4 linked regions of the Canis lupus familiaris genome follow. The protein of the gene in region 1 purifies or fractionates together with the protein of each later gene. This does not show direct contact. Links are inferred from orthologs where the notes say so. Each region holds a gene or a part of one and is shown on either strand. Other genes may lie near its edges. The genes, in order: CDK5RAP3, PIP4P2, CDKN2A and UFM1.

What was found.
Region 2: the proteins of CDK5RAP3 (region 1) and PIP4P2 purify together in Homo sapiens (affinity purification with mass spectrometry; 3 studies listed by BioGRID and IntAct, counting the BioPlex papers as one, with this or other methods). This does not show direct contact. The link is inferred for Canis lupus familiaris from reciprocal best matches to the Homo sapiens genes CDK5RAP3 and PIP4P2.
Region 3: the proteins of CDK5RAP3 (region 1) and CDKN2A purify together in Homo sapiens (affinity purification with western blotting; 3 studies listed by BioGRID). This does not show direct contact. The link is inferred for Canis lupus familiaris from reciprocal best matches to the Homo sapiens genes CDK5RAP3 and CDKN2A.
Region 4: the proteins of CDK5RAP3 (region 1) and UFM1 purify together in Homo sapiens (co-immunoprecipitation; 3 studies listed by BioGRID and IntAct, with this or other methods). This does not show direct contact. The link is inferred for Canis lupus familiaris from reciprocal best matches to the Homo sapiens genes CDK5RAP3 and UFM1.

The regions. Positions count from the first base shown.
Region 1 is NC_049230.1:24,226,285-24,230,415, reverse strand, and holds the start of CDK5RAP3 (CDK5 regulatory subunit-associated protein 3), read right to left. Parts: upstream 2,805-4,131; 5' UTR 2,698-2,804; coding exon 2,692-2,697; intron 2,464-2,691; coding exon 2,418-2,463; intron 1-2,417. UniProt on the Homo sapiens protein: Substrate adapter of E3 ligase complexes mediating ufmylation, the covalent attachment of the ubiquitin-like modifier UFM1 to substrate proteins, and which is involved in various processes, such as ribosome recycling and reticulophagy (also called ER-phagy).
Region 2 is NC_049250.1:37,017,089-37,019,480, forward strand, and holds the end of PIP4P2 (type 2 phosphatidylinositol 4,5-bisphosphate 4-phosphatase), read right to left. Parts: intron 2,111-2,392; coding exon 1,967-2,110; 3' UTR 538-1,966; downstream 1-537. UniProt on the Homo sapiens protein: Catalyzes the hydrolysis of phosphatidylinositol-4,5-bisphosphate (PtdIns-4,5-P2) to phosphatidylinositol-4-phosphate (PtdIns-4-P).
Region 3 is NC_049232.1:41,339,976-41,344,034, forward strand, and holds the start of CDKN2A (cyclin-dependent kinase inhibitor 2A), read right to left. Parts: upstream 2,854-4,059; 5' UTR 2,842-2,853; coding exon 2,716-2,841; intron 1-2,715. UniProt on the Homo sapiens protein: Acts as a negative regulator of the proliferation of normal cells by interacting strongly with CDK4 and CDK6. This inhibits their ability to interact with cyclins D and to phosphorylate the retinoblastoma protein.
Region 4 is NC_049246.1:2,607,822-2,612,129, forward strand, and holds the start of UFM1 (ubiquitin-fold modifier 1), read right to left. Parts: upstream 2,842-4,308; 5' UTR 2,775-2,841; coding exon 2,773-2,774; intron 2,697-2,772; coding exon 2,640-2,696; intron 1-2,639. UniProt on the Homo sapiens protein: Ubiquitin-like modifier which can be covalently attached via an isopeptide bond to lysine residues of substrate proteins as a monomer or a lysine-linked polymer.

The sequences.
Region 1 (4,131 bases):
TCCATGGGTAATTATATCTTTCTTACTGACAGAGGATGCTTTCAACTTCCACTTCCTCAGGGCTGGGATTAACCATGACAATGGAAAATACAAGATGATTATGCCAAGTACCGGATGAATGAACAACTGTAAAGCCCCTAATACCTGCAGCGCCCTAAGGACTAGGTAACACTGGTACTCTCAACAGTGAAGAACTGCCTGGCACCACAAGAACACCAACGTGACTGACCTCCTGGACTCTGGGCCCAGATCTGTTTTTAGGAGAGGGTGTGGGTGGATGAGAGCCATGCATGTTTCCTCAGTAGGAGACAGCTAAGAGCTAGGTTTTGTGGTCAGATGGTCCTGGTTTCTAATTATTACCCCCACCCCCTTTTTTTAAGACTGATTTATTTGAGAGAGAGAAAGAGAGAGCATGTGAGCATGGGGAGGGGGGGTAGAAGGAGAGAGAACCTTAGGCAGACTCCCCACTGAGCACAGAGCCCAACATGGGGCTTAATCCCACAACCCAGAGACCATGACCTGAGCCGAAATCAAGACCCTTAACTGACTGAGCCACCGAGGCGCCCCTAATTATCAACTTTAAGTCTCTCAACCATTCTGTGCGTCAAGTTTCCCCACATATAAAATGGAGATAAGATATTGAACACAAGAGAGAATGGAGTACTGTGCCTGGCATATGACAAGGACTCAATAAATCCAAGTAAAATATGCTCATTTTTGCAATGTCAAGTGCCTAAAACAGCACCTGGTAGAGCAAAGACTCAACGAATGGTTGTTGTTTTCCTGGTCCTTTTCACAGCCAATGACAAGTTCATGCACCAAGAGTGCACAAATGCTGAAGAACTGGGACAAATCTGAATTTTTCTCCGTTATGGGGACACCTGGGTGGCTCAGTGGTTGAGCTTCTGCCTTTGGCTCAGGGCCTGATCCTGGGGTCCTGGGATTGCCTGCATCGGGCTTCCCACAAGGAGACTGCCTCTCTCTCTCTTGAATACATAAATAAATAAAAATATATTTAAAAAAAGAAGCTCCAGGGCAGCCTGGGTGGCTCAGCGGTTTAGTGCCTGCCTTTGGCTCAGGGCATGATCCTGGAATCCTGGGATTGAGTCCGAAGTCGGGCTTGCTGCATGGAGCTTACTTCTCCCTCTGTCTGTGTCTCTGCCTCTCTCTCTCTCTCTCTGTGTCTCTCATGAATAAATAAATCTTTTTAAAAATTTAAAAAAAAAGCTCTATTACGTGGCCACTGCATAGAACTCACTAAATAGTCCACAGTAGTGAACTGAGAACCCTGCCCTTGTTAACATACCTGCCAACTGATCAAACACTGTGCTCTCACACTAGTTTTCAGCTATATCCCCTCGCTGTATTCCTCTGAAACCTTCAAAAAGAAAAACTCTGTAGATACAATAAAACTAGAAGGGGATGAGGTAGTCAGATGTCATTTTTTTTTAAGGATCTTATTTATTCATGAGAGACAGAGAGGCAGGGAGACACAGGCAGAGGGAGAAGTAGGCTCCATGCAGGGATCCCGATGTGGGACTCGATCCCCGGACTCCAGGATCAGGCCCTGGGCTGAAGGCGGCGCTAAACCGCGGAGCCACCCAGCCTGTCCTAGTCAGATGTCATCTTAATGACAAAACTGACATCAAATCCATTAATGCAATTAGCATTTTACAATCCAGGAGTAGTGCACTTGCCTAGAAGGGTCATATATGAGGAGGTCCTTCCCTGGCTCTGAACTGAGGAGGTATTTAGATCAGATATAGACAGCAGGAAGGTGGCCTGCCCACTAAAAGGTCTTTGTTCCCAATTGGGTCTATGTCCCTCTTCCTCCTAAAATCAGGGGAAGATGGAAGCTTTTCTCTTTAAAAAAAAAGGGGGGGGCGGTGTGCCTGGGTGGCTCAGTGGTTGAGCATCTGTCTTCAGCTCAGGACATGATCCTGGGGTCCTGGGATCGAGTCCCACATCCGGCTCCCTACCGGGAGCCTGCTTCTCCCTCTGCCTGTGTCTCCACGGCTCTCTGTGTCTCTCATGAATAAATAATTTATTTTAAAAGGAGGGAAGTTTTTTCTATACAAAAAGCATAGACATTGGAGTCCGACAGACTCGAACTCTAACTTCCTATCTGCCACTTAGTAGCTGACCGTCTTTACAGTAAGCCACTAATCTGGGCCTGATGATTGACCGCACGTGTCATGATGCTATACGGTGGAAGCCGAAGGTTCAAGTACAGACTATGTACGGTTCCTTCCCGCTCCTCCGAGCGCGGCAGGCAGACGCGGCTGGGAGCAGATCACCGCGAGTGGTCAGCGCCTCAGCAGGGGCCTTGGGGCATCGGGGCTCCCAGCTGTTGGCGACAGGCAGCAAAGGGCAGGGCCTCCCCCTGGCAGCCGGTTGCGCGGGGCGTCCCCTCCTACCGAGCAGCTTGCTGGTCTGGATGTCGATGGGCACGTGCTGATGGTCCTGGAGGGAAACACGCCGGGGAACGGGGCGTGAGCGCGCCGAGGGGGCGTGCCCCCTGCGCGCTCGGTTCAGGGGCCCAACCGCCGCCCTGCGGGGCCAGAATGACGGGCCCGGGGTGGGGGGCGCGCCCGGGAGAGAGGCCGGCGACGCGGGCCAGGAACTGACGGGCCGAATTCAGCCCGGGTCCCCGGAGCAGCCCCCCACAGCCCCCAGCTCCAGGCCCCACACCTGCATCTTCCTCCACTTCCGCTTCCGGCTGGCGACCCACGCCAGCCCCACCTACAACCAATCGCGCGCGGGGCTAGCGGAGCCTCTGTCTAGGCCCGAACGCGCCTCCTCCGGCCACGTAGCCACCTTCCTCCGAGCCAATCGGGACGCGCGCTCCTCCCCTGGCCACAAGCCCCACCCACCTCGGGGCTCCGAATGGCTGAGCCCGGAGAGGCGGGAGGACGGGAGTCAGCCAATGGGAGACGCGAGGCGGGCTCAGGGCTGGAGAGGGGCGGGGCGCCGAGAAAAGGCTGCAGGGGCGGCGAGCTCGCGGCAGGGGACGCCCGAGAGCTGACACCCGCCGCTTGCGGCTAGGTGGCCACCGAGCCTCCGGTGCTAGGATTACCTGGCTCGCCGAGAGGGTCCTAGCGCTGACCCTGGACACCCGGAGGCCGTTAGAAATGCCTCCTTCCCGCCTTGCCTGGCTTTACGTCCGTCGTCGTTTGTGGGTGGCACTTGTCACATTTTGCCTTCCCGTTGAGTTTCTCTGATAGACATGTGTTGAGTACCTGCTACCTGTTGGGTAGATTAGGGCGGGGAAGGGGAGGCATCCCCAAGATAACACCTACATCGAGTCTTCAAAAGAAGAGCTGGGGCAGCCCTGGTGGCTCAGCAGTTTAGCGCCGCCTTCGGCCCAGGGCCTGATCCTGGAGTCCCAGGATCGAGTCCCACGTCGGGCTCCCTGCATGGAGCCTGCTTCTCCTTCTGCCTGTGTCTCTGCCTCTCTCTCTCTCTATCTCTCATGAATAAATAAATAAAATCTTTTAAAAAATAAATGAATTAATAAAATAAAAGCTGCAGGAGCACCCTGGTGGCTCTGTGGCTGAGCATCTGCCTTTGGCTCAGGGAGTGAACCTGGGGTCCTGGGCTCCTTCCTGCATCAGGCTCCCTGCAGGGAGCCTGCTTCTCCCTCTGCCTCTCTCTCTGTGTCTCTCATGAATAAATAATAAATAAAACCTTTAAATGAACGAATAAATAAATAAATAAATAAATAAATAAATAAATAAATAAATAATTTTTTATGATGGAAGAATTTCAAGAGGGCACCCCGACCGACGGGTCTCACGCTGATGATGCTGGTGGTGGCAGTGGCAGTGAAGGCAGGCCAGCATTTGTGCAGTAAAAAGTTTGGGGCAAGGAGTGGCCAGCCAGGAGACTGTAAAGGTGGAAAGGTCCTATCATAGGGAGGAGCCTCATGAAGGAACTTGGACTTCACCCCTGCAGACAGGGAGGAACCACTAGAGGAGGGTTTGAAGGGTTTGAAGCGGGGAAGGACCTGTGACCGCAGAGGATAGATTCGCGAGAGATAAGACTGGAGACAGGTAGACTGTCAGGAGGTTATTATTGCAGAGATTAGGGCCTGATGGAGGACAAGACAGGAGGAGGAGGGGAAGGGCTGGA
Region 2 (2,392 bases), on another chromosome or scaffold:
AGGTTTTACTTAGAAAGTTTTTCTTTAACACAAGATTATATGGATATTCACTTATATATTCTGTAACAAAATATAAAGACTAAACCCAAGGGATAAAATTTTAACATACCAATTCATCCATCATTTATTCATTCATGCAACAAATATCTACTGAATACAAATGCACTAGGTGCTGTTCTAAATGCTGAAGATAAAGCAGTGAGAAAGGCCACCCAAGTTCCTACTATCACGGAATTATAGTCCAAAAGGAAAAAGATCATGCAGCATATAATTTAATGTGGGTTTGCTGTTACAACTAGTTAGCCATTAAGAAATAAATTAGATTCTTATTTCATACCTTACATCAAATGTATTACTAATGGATTTAAAATCTGTATTTCTAAAATGAAAGCAGGAAAATACTAGAAAAAAAATAAGTGAATATTATATAAAGAAATATTACATATGTTCTTAAACACGAAAACTCCTTTTAGAGTAATAACTCAAGGCAATTTTGGAAACACCATTTTATTTTTAAAAAATGGAAATATAACAAGGTAATTTTTGAACAATAATCTTTATTAGCGTATTTTCAAAGGTACATATAATCCTGAGCTACTGCATTTAAACATTTATCATTTACTCTTTAAAGTTTACACATATTTTGCTCCAAATTCTCTGATGAGTACATTTTTATACTAGTCAGGAACATAAATATTTAAATTATTATTCTTATCTCTGGAATAGCCAATTAATTTACTCATATTATCCCCTTATCTTAATTCTACTATATTAAAGGCTTTAGAACATTATTTCTCAATTAAGCAATTTCTTTTCCAAAACTGCAAAGATGGGCAGTGCGAGAGCTGATTCCTTAAATCTTAGTGAATTCTTAGAAAACTATGTTGTTTTTTGTCTGTGATCTACCTTCTTGAATAAGTTGGGTAACTATCAGACCAGACTATATTTGAGAAGAATGATAAGAATAACTACCTCTAATCTCAACATTTTAGCTAGTGTAAAATGTCACAGGCTCTCTTCTCATATAAGTAGTCCATAATTAGCCCAATAAGGAAAATTCACCATGATCCAATGTAAAGGGGGGCAACTTAAGGTAAATATATCTTTGTTCAAATGGTTATTATAAAACATGTTATGTGAAATACTTCCTCCAACATCTATAAAGGAATACATACAGCTGATTAACATTAAATTTCATAAATCTAGACCAGAACTTCTAAAATTAGTAAATAAAAAAGCAGACAAAAATGAAAGACAAAAGTCCTGTGATCTTTGAGAAAAAACATTTATCCAACATTATCTCCAACTGTGGACAAATAAATATTTTCATTCTTGTATTTTAAATTACTACCAAAATATTGTATCTTTCTACAAACAACAAAAAACAAGCATACAGTATCTAGAAATGGTTTTTATCTGACAAGAATGTCAAGTCTTTGAAGGTACACTCAATTTTTTTTTTTTTCCTGAATAAGGTCACTATGATCTTAGGTTAAAGTTACAGTAAGCAGTTCAAGCAAAATGCATATTGCTTAGATTTTAAAGCGAGCAATTTTGATACTGTTTAACTAAAATGTGAGTATAAATGTGAAGCTATTGTAGAAATATTTATAAATACTCCTTGGGAATACTCACAGATCAGCAAGTAATGGAACTGATTTAAAAACAATAATGGAAAGGTGATGTTACATGTAATGTTTGGCAAATCCAAAATATCTTTAAGAGATGTAAAAGAACATGAAGACACAGTTTTATTATTCAGAGCTTTGAAAACCTAGCAGCAAAACAAACTGTTTGCATATAATGTAGTGCAATGAGCATTTGTTCATAAAACACTCCCAAAGTCTTGGAACTTTATACAGAAACCAGAATGGAATCCATTAGGATGAATGACTCAAAGATGCCCAGAGTAGCTTATCAAGAACTGCCAGATACTCTCACCTGCATCACCAAGTTACAAGCAAGCTTATGCAAAACTATGTTCTGGGTAACTCACTCGTATGGCTCCCCAATAGCAAGCTCGGATAAGGCAAATCAAACCTAAGAGATAAGCAATTGCCCAAGAAACATAGGTTGCATGAAATCGCCTTGCAAAATCTTGGGTGCCAACCTAAAATAAAAAGCAATATAATAACAAAAGATTAAAAACTTTAACCAAAGGTTTATTTAAAGAGCTTGTGTTGGCTTATATGTGATTTTTAGGAAATACATCCCTAAGGCCACAATGTCCCTATGAAATAGGAGTTGATGCATTTGTGGACTATCACTGACAGAGTCAAATTTAGTAAGACAATATTGCCGGTTATATTAACTATGAATTTTATGCAAAAAAAAAAAAAAAAGCCCACTTGAACATGGTGTTTCTATAAGTAAGTAAACCTGTCATCGAAAC
Region 3 (4,059 bases), on another chromosome or scaffold:
ATTGAATTCCATTATATTCTCCAAACTTTTGCGGAATTCCAGCCACACCCTATTGTCTGTCAGAGGCATGACAATAGCAAAAGAGTGAGAGACGAACTGGCTTGAACTATAGCCTAACCTCCTATAGCCCCCCCACCCATTTTGATACAAAATTATATAAGGCCCAGAGATTTTGTATGGTTTTCTGTTGTATATCCAAGCCCAGGACATAATAATTGTTAAAAAGTGAAAGTGAAAACAACAACAAATCTTTAATTCCTAAAAAACTTTTAATATACACTTAGCCTACCAGAATGTTAAAATTCACTCTAAGTATAAAATGAGGGTTCTCTAACCAGCCCCCAAATTCCTTCCCATAATGAGCTGAAGAATGTCCCCAAAGATGTGTACTACCTAACACTTGAAAGCTGTGAATATAATACCTTACATGGGAAGAGAGGCTTCCCAGATGTGATTAAATTAAGGATTTTGAGAGAGATTAACATGGATTATCAGGATGGGCCCAATGTAATCACAAATTCCCTTATGAGGTTACAGAAGAAAGATCTAAGAATGGAGGTCAGAGAGAAGAAGATGCAGGGACCATGAGCACAGGAATGTTGATGGCCATTAGAAGTTGGAAACAGATTCTCCCCTAGAACTTCCAAAAGAAATGCAGCATTGTGGATCCATTTTAGACTTCAACCTCCAGAACTATAAGATAATAAATTTATGTTGGTTTGAGACACAAAAGTTGTGGTAATTTGTTACAGCAGAAATAGGAAACTAAGAAACTTCCCAAGTTTATATACTCTGAGAGTTCATTAAACAGGAGGTGCTCCCTTCATTTGTTTGATAAATCGTCTTTGAAACAAAGTCATTACCAAAGAGGATTTTTTAAATAGTATCTACAATCACAGCAACCTTACAATTTGAGTGTTACATGGCAGATGGCAGTGGTAGATAATTTTCTTTTAGGCTAACCACTATTTGATTATATTAGCTAGACTTATAGTGACTGTATAAAAAGGAATTATTTTTAATTACATTCTGCATTAAACGTAAATAATTATTTCTCTAAGCCAAGGAACATCTGCGAAGCCTCTTTTCCCATGTAAGGTAACATACACTTAACTGATTTTAAAGGTTTTCATTATATTTTGCAGTATTAAAGTATGAAAGAAACCTAACACTTAAATACTTAAATCTAAATAGCAATCCAAAGCTGAAAGAAAAAGAATCGATTAAATGAATATTTGTAGAGTGCTTAAATCCATTTGATAAGATATTTAAAGTAATTATAATTTTCTATAAACTAATTAGTTTTGTATTAAACACAAGGTTGGTTAGGGTTCTAAACCAAAACCATGCACTCTTTTCTCTATGTTCTTATTTTCCCTATTAAAAAAATTGTTAAAACTAATTATCCAACTTTTTTCTTTTTGTATTTAAACAAAGTCTCTTCAAACATATTCCAAACTTCAAGGCCACACTCAGTCTCTGAGCAAAATCTTAGAGAAATGAGAAATCATGCATGCATTCTTTTTAAAGGACTCATGGTTTTCTTCTACCATCACACAACCTCTCTACTCTCAAAATCCCTTCACACTTAAAATCCCAAATAATCTCAAGTTTTAAGGCATTTTGTTTTTATTTTTATATATGTATGTTAAGGTATATAAAATTTATCCTATGTAGCATTGTTTCAGGAAAGGAAGATGACTTGTGAAATCTGTGCAATTGCAGGTACAGTTACTTTCCTTTGTCTTGTTATGCTTGAATTTGTGCAGTGAGCCTTTGTTTCACATACATTTTATTTTTCACAATCCAAAATCATTGTCAACACTGGGAATAAAACTAGGGTGGTGACGAACAGGGAGAAATAGGGTTTTTTGGTTTTGGGTTTTTTTTTTTTTTTTTTTTAGCCTGGATTTAGGAATTTAGTGAAGGCAAACAACAACAGCAAATACCCAGCACCCCCACCCCCACCCACAACCGGAGTCAGGAGGGAAGAAACCACATTTCTGAACCGTGAGGAATCCAAAACTCTCTCAACTGCGTTAATCTATAGCAAGTCAAAAGTAACAAAAATAATAGGAGGTACCCTCAAAATGGTAGCTAAATCGACGGCATTATCTCAGGCAAGATCACACTGTTTTTCTTCATCTATGTCTGTCTGTATTCCCTAAATTCTCACAAGCACAGATGTGCCATACACGGTTAAAGTAAAAATAAACACAACATGCAGTTGCTTCTGAACAATTTCAATGAATATTTATTCAATTTACACAGCAGAAGGTTTCCAGTACAATCGCCGCTAGCACAGAAGATGATCCGCTCCCTTCAGGGGTCTATGAGTTCCGGCCTAGTGGGCCCAACAAATCTTCCATTTCTTTAAAATCTTGCTTTACGTTCGTAACTGTGTATCAGATGGAGAGCACACCTCGGACTATATTAACACGAACAGGCTCCCCCCTCCCGATCTCAGACCAGACATCTGCCCTGCACGTGCCTCCCCATCTCCCCTCCCCCCCCCCCCCCCCCCCCCCCCGCGGCTTCCTCTGCCCCCAGGACGCGGACACTGGAAGCTCCGGGCTCCAGACACCACCTGGGACCTCACCAGGGAGTCTCCCCGTCCCCGACCAGCGACCGGCAGACCTGGAGGACTCCCTTGCAAACCCTGTGCCGCACAGTCGTCCGCCACCGCCTCCTCCCGCCGCCCGCGCGCTCACCCACCTGAATCGGGCTCCGACCCAGGCGGTTCGGCGCGTCGGGAGGCGCCCCCGCCGCGAGCAGCGCCCGCACCTCGTCCGCGCGGCCCCGGGCTGCCGCCGAGGCCAGCCAGTCGGCGAAGGGCTCCATGCTGCTCCCGAGCGCGGGCCCCCGGCTCCCTCCCTCCCTCCCTCCTTCCCGCCGCGGCCGTCGGGCGCCAGCGGCCCGCCCCAGCCTCTCGTGACCCGCCCGCCCCTCCTCTCCCCTCCTCTCCCCTCCTCCGGGGCCGGCGGAAGCGGCCCCCAGACTCGGCCCCTCGACTCCTCCAACCCGACTCTTTCAATCCAGGAGAGCGCCCTCCGCTCTCAACTCGCTGCGAAACGAGTCGCCCCACGCGTGGCCTCTGCCGTCTCGGTTCCACGGCTCCCCCAGGGGAGCACGACCGAGCCGCGGGGGCAGGGAGCCGCGGGCCGCCCCACAGCTGCCCTCGCGCCGCGTCGCTCCGCGCTCCGCCCCGCCTGCGCTCCCCGAGCCGGGCGCTGCCCCCCCGCCCCTCCCCCCGCTGCCCATCGCCCCCCGCCCCTCCCCCGTCGCCCGTCGCCCCCTCCCCCGGCCGCCCATGGCGCCCCGCCCCCCCCCCCGCCGCCCATTGCGCCCCTGTCGCCCCTCCCCCGTCGCCCGTCGCCCCCCGCCCCTCCCCCGTCGCCCGTCGCCCCCTCCCCCGGCCGCCCATTGCGCCCCGCCCCCCCCCGCCGCCCATCACCCCTCCCCCCGCCGCCCATTGCGCCCCTGTCGCCCCTCCCCCGTCGCCCGTCGCCCCCCGCCCCTCCCCCGTCGCCCGTCGCCCCCTCCCCCGGCCGCCCATTGCGCCCCGCCCCCCCCACCGCCCATCACCCCTCCCCCCGCCGCCCCTTGCGCCCCTGTCGCCCCTCCCCCGTCGCCCGTCGCCCCCCCCGCCCCTCCCCCGTCGCCCCTCCCCCAGCCGCCCATTGCGCCCCGCCCCTCCCCCCGCCGCCCATCGCTCCTCCCCCCGCCGCCCATTGCGCCCCCCTCGCCCATCGCCCCCCCGCCCCTCCCCCGTCGCCCGTCGCCCCCTCCCCCCGCCGCCCATGGCGCCCCGCCCCTCCCCCCGCCGCCCATCGACCTCCCCCCGCCCCTTCCCCGTCGCCCATCACCCCCTCCCCCCGCCGTCCATCGCCCCCCCCCCGCCCCTTTCCCGTCGCCCATTACCACCCCCCCCCGCCCTTCCCCGTCGCCCATCACCCCCTCCCCCCGCCGCCCATCGCCCCCCCGCCCCTTTCCCGTCGCCCATTACCACCCCCCCGCCCTTCCCCGCCGCCCATCGCCCCCCCCCGCCCCTTCCCGGTC
Region 4 (4,308 bases), on another chromosome or scaffold:
AGGGTGTGATCCTGGAGACCCGGGATCGAGTCCCACGTCGGGCTCCCTGTGTGGTGCCTGCTTCTCCCTCTGCCTCTGCCTCTGCCTCTCTCTCTCTTTGTGTATCTTTGTGAATAAATAAATAAAATCTTAAAAAAAAAAAATCTTAAAAAAAAATCCTTTTTAGAATTCAACTATTAGTAATGTTAGAAACTCAAAGCACAATTATCTATCAAAGCATTTATTTACTGGCTTTGCAAGTGACAAGTGACATTAAAAAGCCAAAGCAAATTCTCCCGCAAATTTTACGAATGGCATTTAACAGTACCCAAGTACTAGTTACCACTTACTTCGAATACGAAGTATAGCAGAATTAACTTTACATACATGCACATGTCATACATATTTTATATACACACATATCCATATACAGATTATACATACACACCAAACAGTAGGTATGTCTATTAAATTCATTCAGTCATGAATATTAATTGAACTAGTAAAAAGTTCTGGGCACTCTTACAGATACTACTGCTGTCCTACTCTGTCCTTTTTCCCTCCTGTTCTAGAGAATTATCTACACACTGATGAGAATAATCCTATAAAGGGAGAAATCAAAGGTGGTGAGGAGAGAGGGATCTCTGGACTCCCATCTACTCTAAGCTTGAGAAGACACAAGTGCCCAAGTGGCACAGCTTGGTTTTTCATAGGAATAAAATCATGTGTTCCTTTGTAAAAGGATGATGAAAAGAAATTATGGGTTTATAAACATAACAATAGCTTTACAGATGTGGTGATGGAAAGATGCATCTTCCTCTGATGGCTTCAGCAAAAGAGAAAAAAAAAGCATTGTAGAAAGTATGAATAGATTTTTAAAAAATCCTTTTAGAGAATAAAGAGATAGGAAAACTTGGGAACTGTAACATAGTGTTAGGTACTATTGAGCACAGTTATGAATTTTATACAAGATCCATCAACCTAGGATCCTACGCCTGGGTGGCTCAGTGGTTGAGTGCCTACCTTTGACTCAGGGCATGATCCCAGGGTCCTGGGATCGAGTCCCACATCGGGCTCCCCATAGGGAGTCTGCTTCTCCCTCTGCCTGTGTCTCTGCCTCTTTCTCTCTCTCATGAATAAATAAATAAAATCTTTTAAAAAAATCCATCAGTCTAGTTATAATTTTCAGTAAAGACCTTTAGTTATGTAGGGAACATAGTGGCTGAGTTCAGAGGTGGTGTTTCACCAAGCAAAACATACTGGGGAAAGAACACCAGAGTTGAGGTGAGTGGACCCACCAGAGAGTAACTGGACCATGGACTCTAAGAGAGTAAGAAGAAAAGGAATGGGGTAAAGCAGTGGAGAGAGGGTAATGATTGATTTAAAAAGAGATGTGATCAATGAATTAAAAGAAACATTTTGGGCAGCCCAGGTGGCTCAGTGGTTTAGTGCCGCCTTCAGCCCAGGGTGTGATTCCTAAGACCGGGGATCAAGTCCCACGTCGGGCTCCCTGCATGGAGCCTGCTTCTCCCTCTGCCTGTGTCTGTGCCTCTCTCTCTGTCTCGGTGTCTCTCATGAATAAATAAAATCTTAAAAAAAAAAAAAAGAAAAGCAAAGAACTTTTTTTTTTTTTTTTTTACAGAAAAAATATTAGAGTAACTCAAATTTAAAAAGAAAACAAGGTCATCCACAAGGGAATACTTGAAAATGACACCTTAGCTGGAGCAGTTACTGAAGGCCTTACGGTTCTAGGCTGCAACCATAACTATGTGAGATAAGATGAAAGATTTACCTGGAGACGAATGATCGAGAAAGCTTAAGGCTGGGAGTTGCATGGGTCAGATAGTTAAGTCACTGAGGCTGATGACAACTGTTAAGAGTTTCGTTAGGTAGGCCTTGATACTAGTTATATTAACTATGAATAAAATCCTACTGAAGTCTTGCCCTTTACCGCATCTTATGCGACTTCCGGCAGCAGTAACCTCAATAATCGTTTGTCTAAAATCACAGAAGATTCCGGGTGAGTATGTTGTTAAACCTGTGCCAACCCATCACTCAACTGCTGAAGGAGAAAACTAGGGCCTCGCGTGCCCTATTTCTGCACTCCCTATTCCCACTTACCACTCTTTATTAAACCCCAACATAGAAAATGTATGATTTGAGGACCAGTACTTTGTGACGCCCGGCTGTTGAGTCACTTGCACAGGAACCAGAAGCCTGACCGTACTCCACGTTCCAGTAATTTCAGAACCTGGACGGGGCTGTCTTCCCTTACTTCCCGTTAGCAGCTGGTCAAAGCAGCAAAGCGCCTTTCCAATCAGAGCAGACAGGGACTGTTCGCGGACCCTCGCAAATCATTAGAGCCCTGCCACACGTCCCCCCGCTCCACCCTCCACCCTCCACCCTCCACCCCCGCCCCGGGAGCCCCGCGGGCCGGTCGGCTAGCAGCCGCGGCGTTCCCGTCCCGTCCCGTCCCGTCCCTGCTCCCTCGCGTCTGCGTCTCCGTCTCCACTGCTGGGGTGGGGGGAAGCTCCAGGAAGGGCAAGGGGGAAGGGAAGGGACGGGATGCAGCCTGCTGGGGTGGGAGAGCGCCCGGAGGCCAGCCTGGTCACCGCCTCTCCTCCCGCAGCCCGCAAGGCCCACCGCCGCCCGCTACTCACACTTTGTAAGGCAGCCGCGGGTCCGACGTCAGCGTGATCTTAAAGGAAACCTTCGACCTGAGGAGGGAAGCCAGAGTGAGTTAAAGCCGTGCAGCAGGGCCAGGGGTTGAGGTTGGGGTCAGCACACACTCACATCGTGGAGCCCTGCGGACCGACACCCCCGCCGACGCCGCCTGCTCGCCCGGGGCCGCGCCACCCCCGCCCCCCCGCCCCAGGCCCACGTCTCCCTCCGCAACCCGGGGGCCTCCAAAGCTTGTGTTGTCTGAGGCACTGCCTGAAAATCGGCTTCGGTTGCTTGTGCTGGGCGGAGCCTCCGTGTTGCAAAGAGCTACTCATTTAGCATTTAAAGTTCTGAGACTAGAGCATGGATCGTATGGAGGAATATTTTTCGAACTGCGGTTATTTCCTGCCGTATTTCCAGTCAGGCAATACAAATGTGGGAAGAGACGGCGGGACGCTAGGTCCCAGCGGGCAGCTTGGGGCGGAAGTGAGGGCACAGAGTAGGCGGGCGCGGCGGGGCGCGGCGGGGCGCGGCGGGGCGCGGCGAGGGGCGGGACGCGGGCGGGACGCGGGCGGGGCTGGGGGCTGGGGGGCCGGGGGGCTGGGGGGCCGGCCTGCCGCGCAGTTGCTAGGGCAACCTGGTCGCCGAAATCCTGGAGTGTTGAGTTCAAGAAGCTGGAATCTTCGCCTCTCTTTAGTATTAGCATTCTTCTGTCTTTCCAGCAATGCAATCCTGTTGTATCTTGCATTTCAACATTTTTTTCCTTAACGCTAGGCAATACTGATGTCAAGTTTCAACAGACGACAGAGGAATAAAGTTGGTGAGAAAGGTAAGATCCCTGTGCTAGAAGAGCTTGGAATATACATGGAAAGGGCAATCCAGGGAGGCCTGGGTGGCTCAGCGGTTTGGCGCCTGCCTTCGGCCCAGGGCGTGACCCTGGAGACCCGGGATCGAGTCCCACGTGGGGCTCCCTGCGTGGAGCCTGCCTCTCCCTCTGTGTCTCCGCCTCCCTCGCTGTGCACGACCCTCACGAATAAATAAGTAAAATCTTTAAGAGAAAGAGCAATCCGTGAGCGGGATTTCACTAGTTTGTTGTGTGGTCTAATAGTATTGCACCAGGGAGCTGGGGCTGGGGCGCCGATCATGAGCACATCTATTCAATTTAATAACAAACTTTGAATCCTTTCTAGTAAAGTTCAGTGCTGCGGATGCTAGAATGGGTAAGAGGGTAGATGCCAACCCTCCATGGTCTAACAAGTTCTTGTATAGTGAAGATAGACCGTATATGCCCTCTGAAGTCTACTACAAATGTAAACATCTGTGTTCGCAAAAATAAACATCCCTCTCCAATGTCTGTAATTCCCTTTTTAAGAAGTATTGCAATGAATTATAAGATAGGAAACAAGTAGGTACTAAAATACTGAGGAAATCTAGATAATCTTTAGGCTATTATGTTAAGATTTCTAAGGAGAGATGTCTAAGAGGAATAGGGAAAGAGCTGCAGGAGGAATGTGAAAGACCAATTTCCGTAATTTTGTGTCAGTGCTGTTCTGTGGCGACAGCTCCCCGGGGAGAGAATGCAGACTCTGACTTAGGAAAGAAAGGCTTCAGTATGATGCATGGCACCTGATTTTTTTTTTTTTTTCCGATAAGAATTCTTAGTGGGAG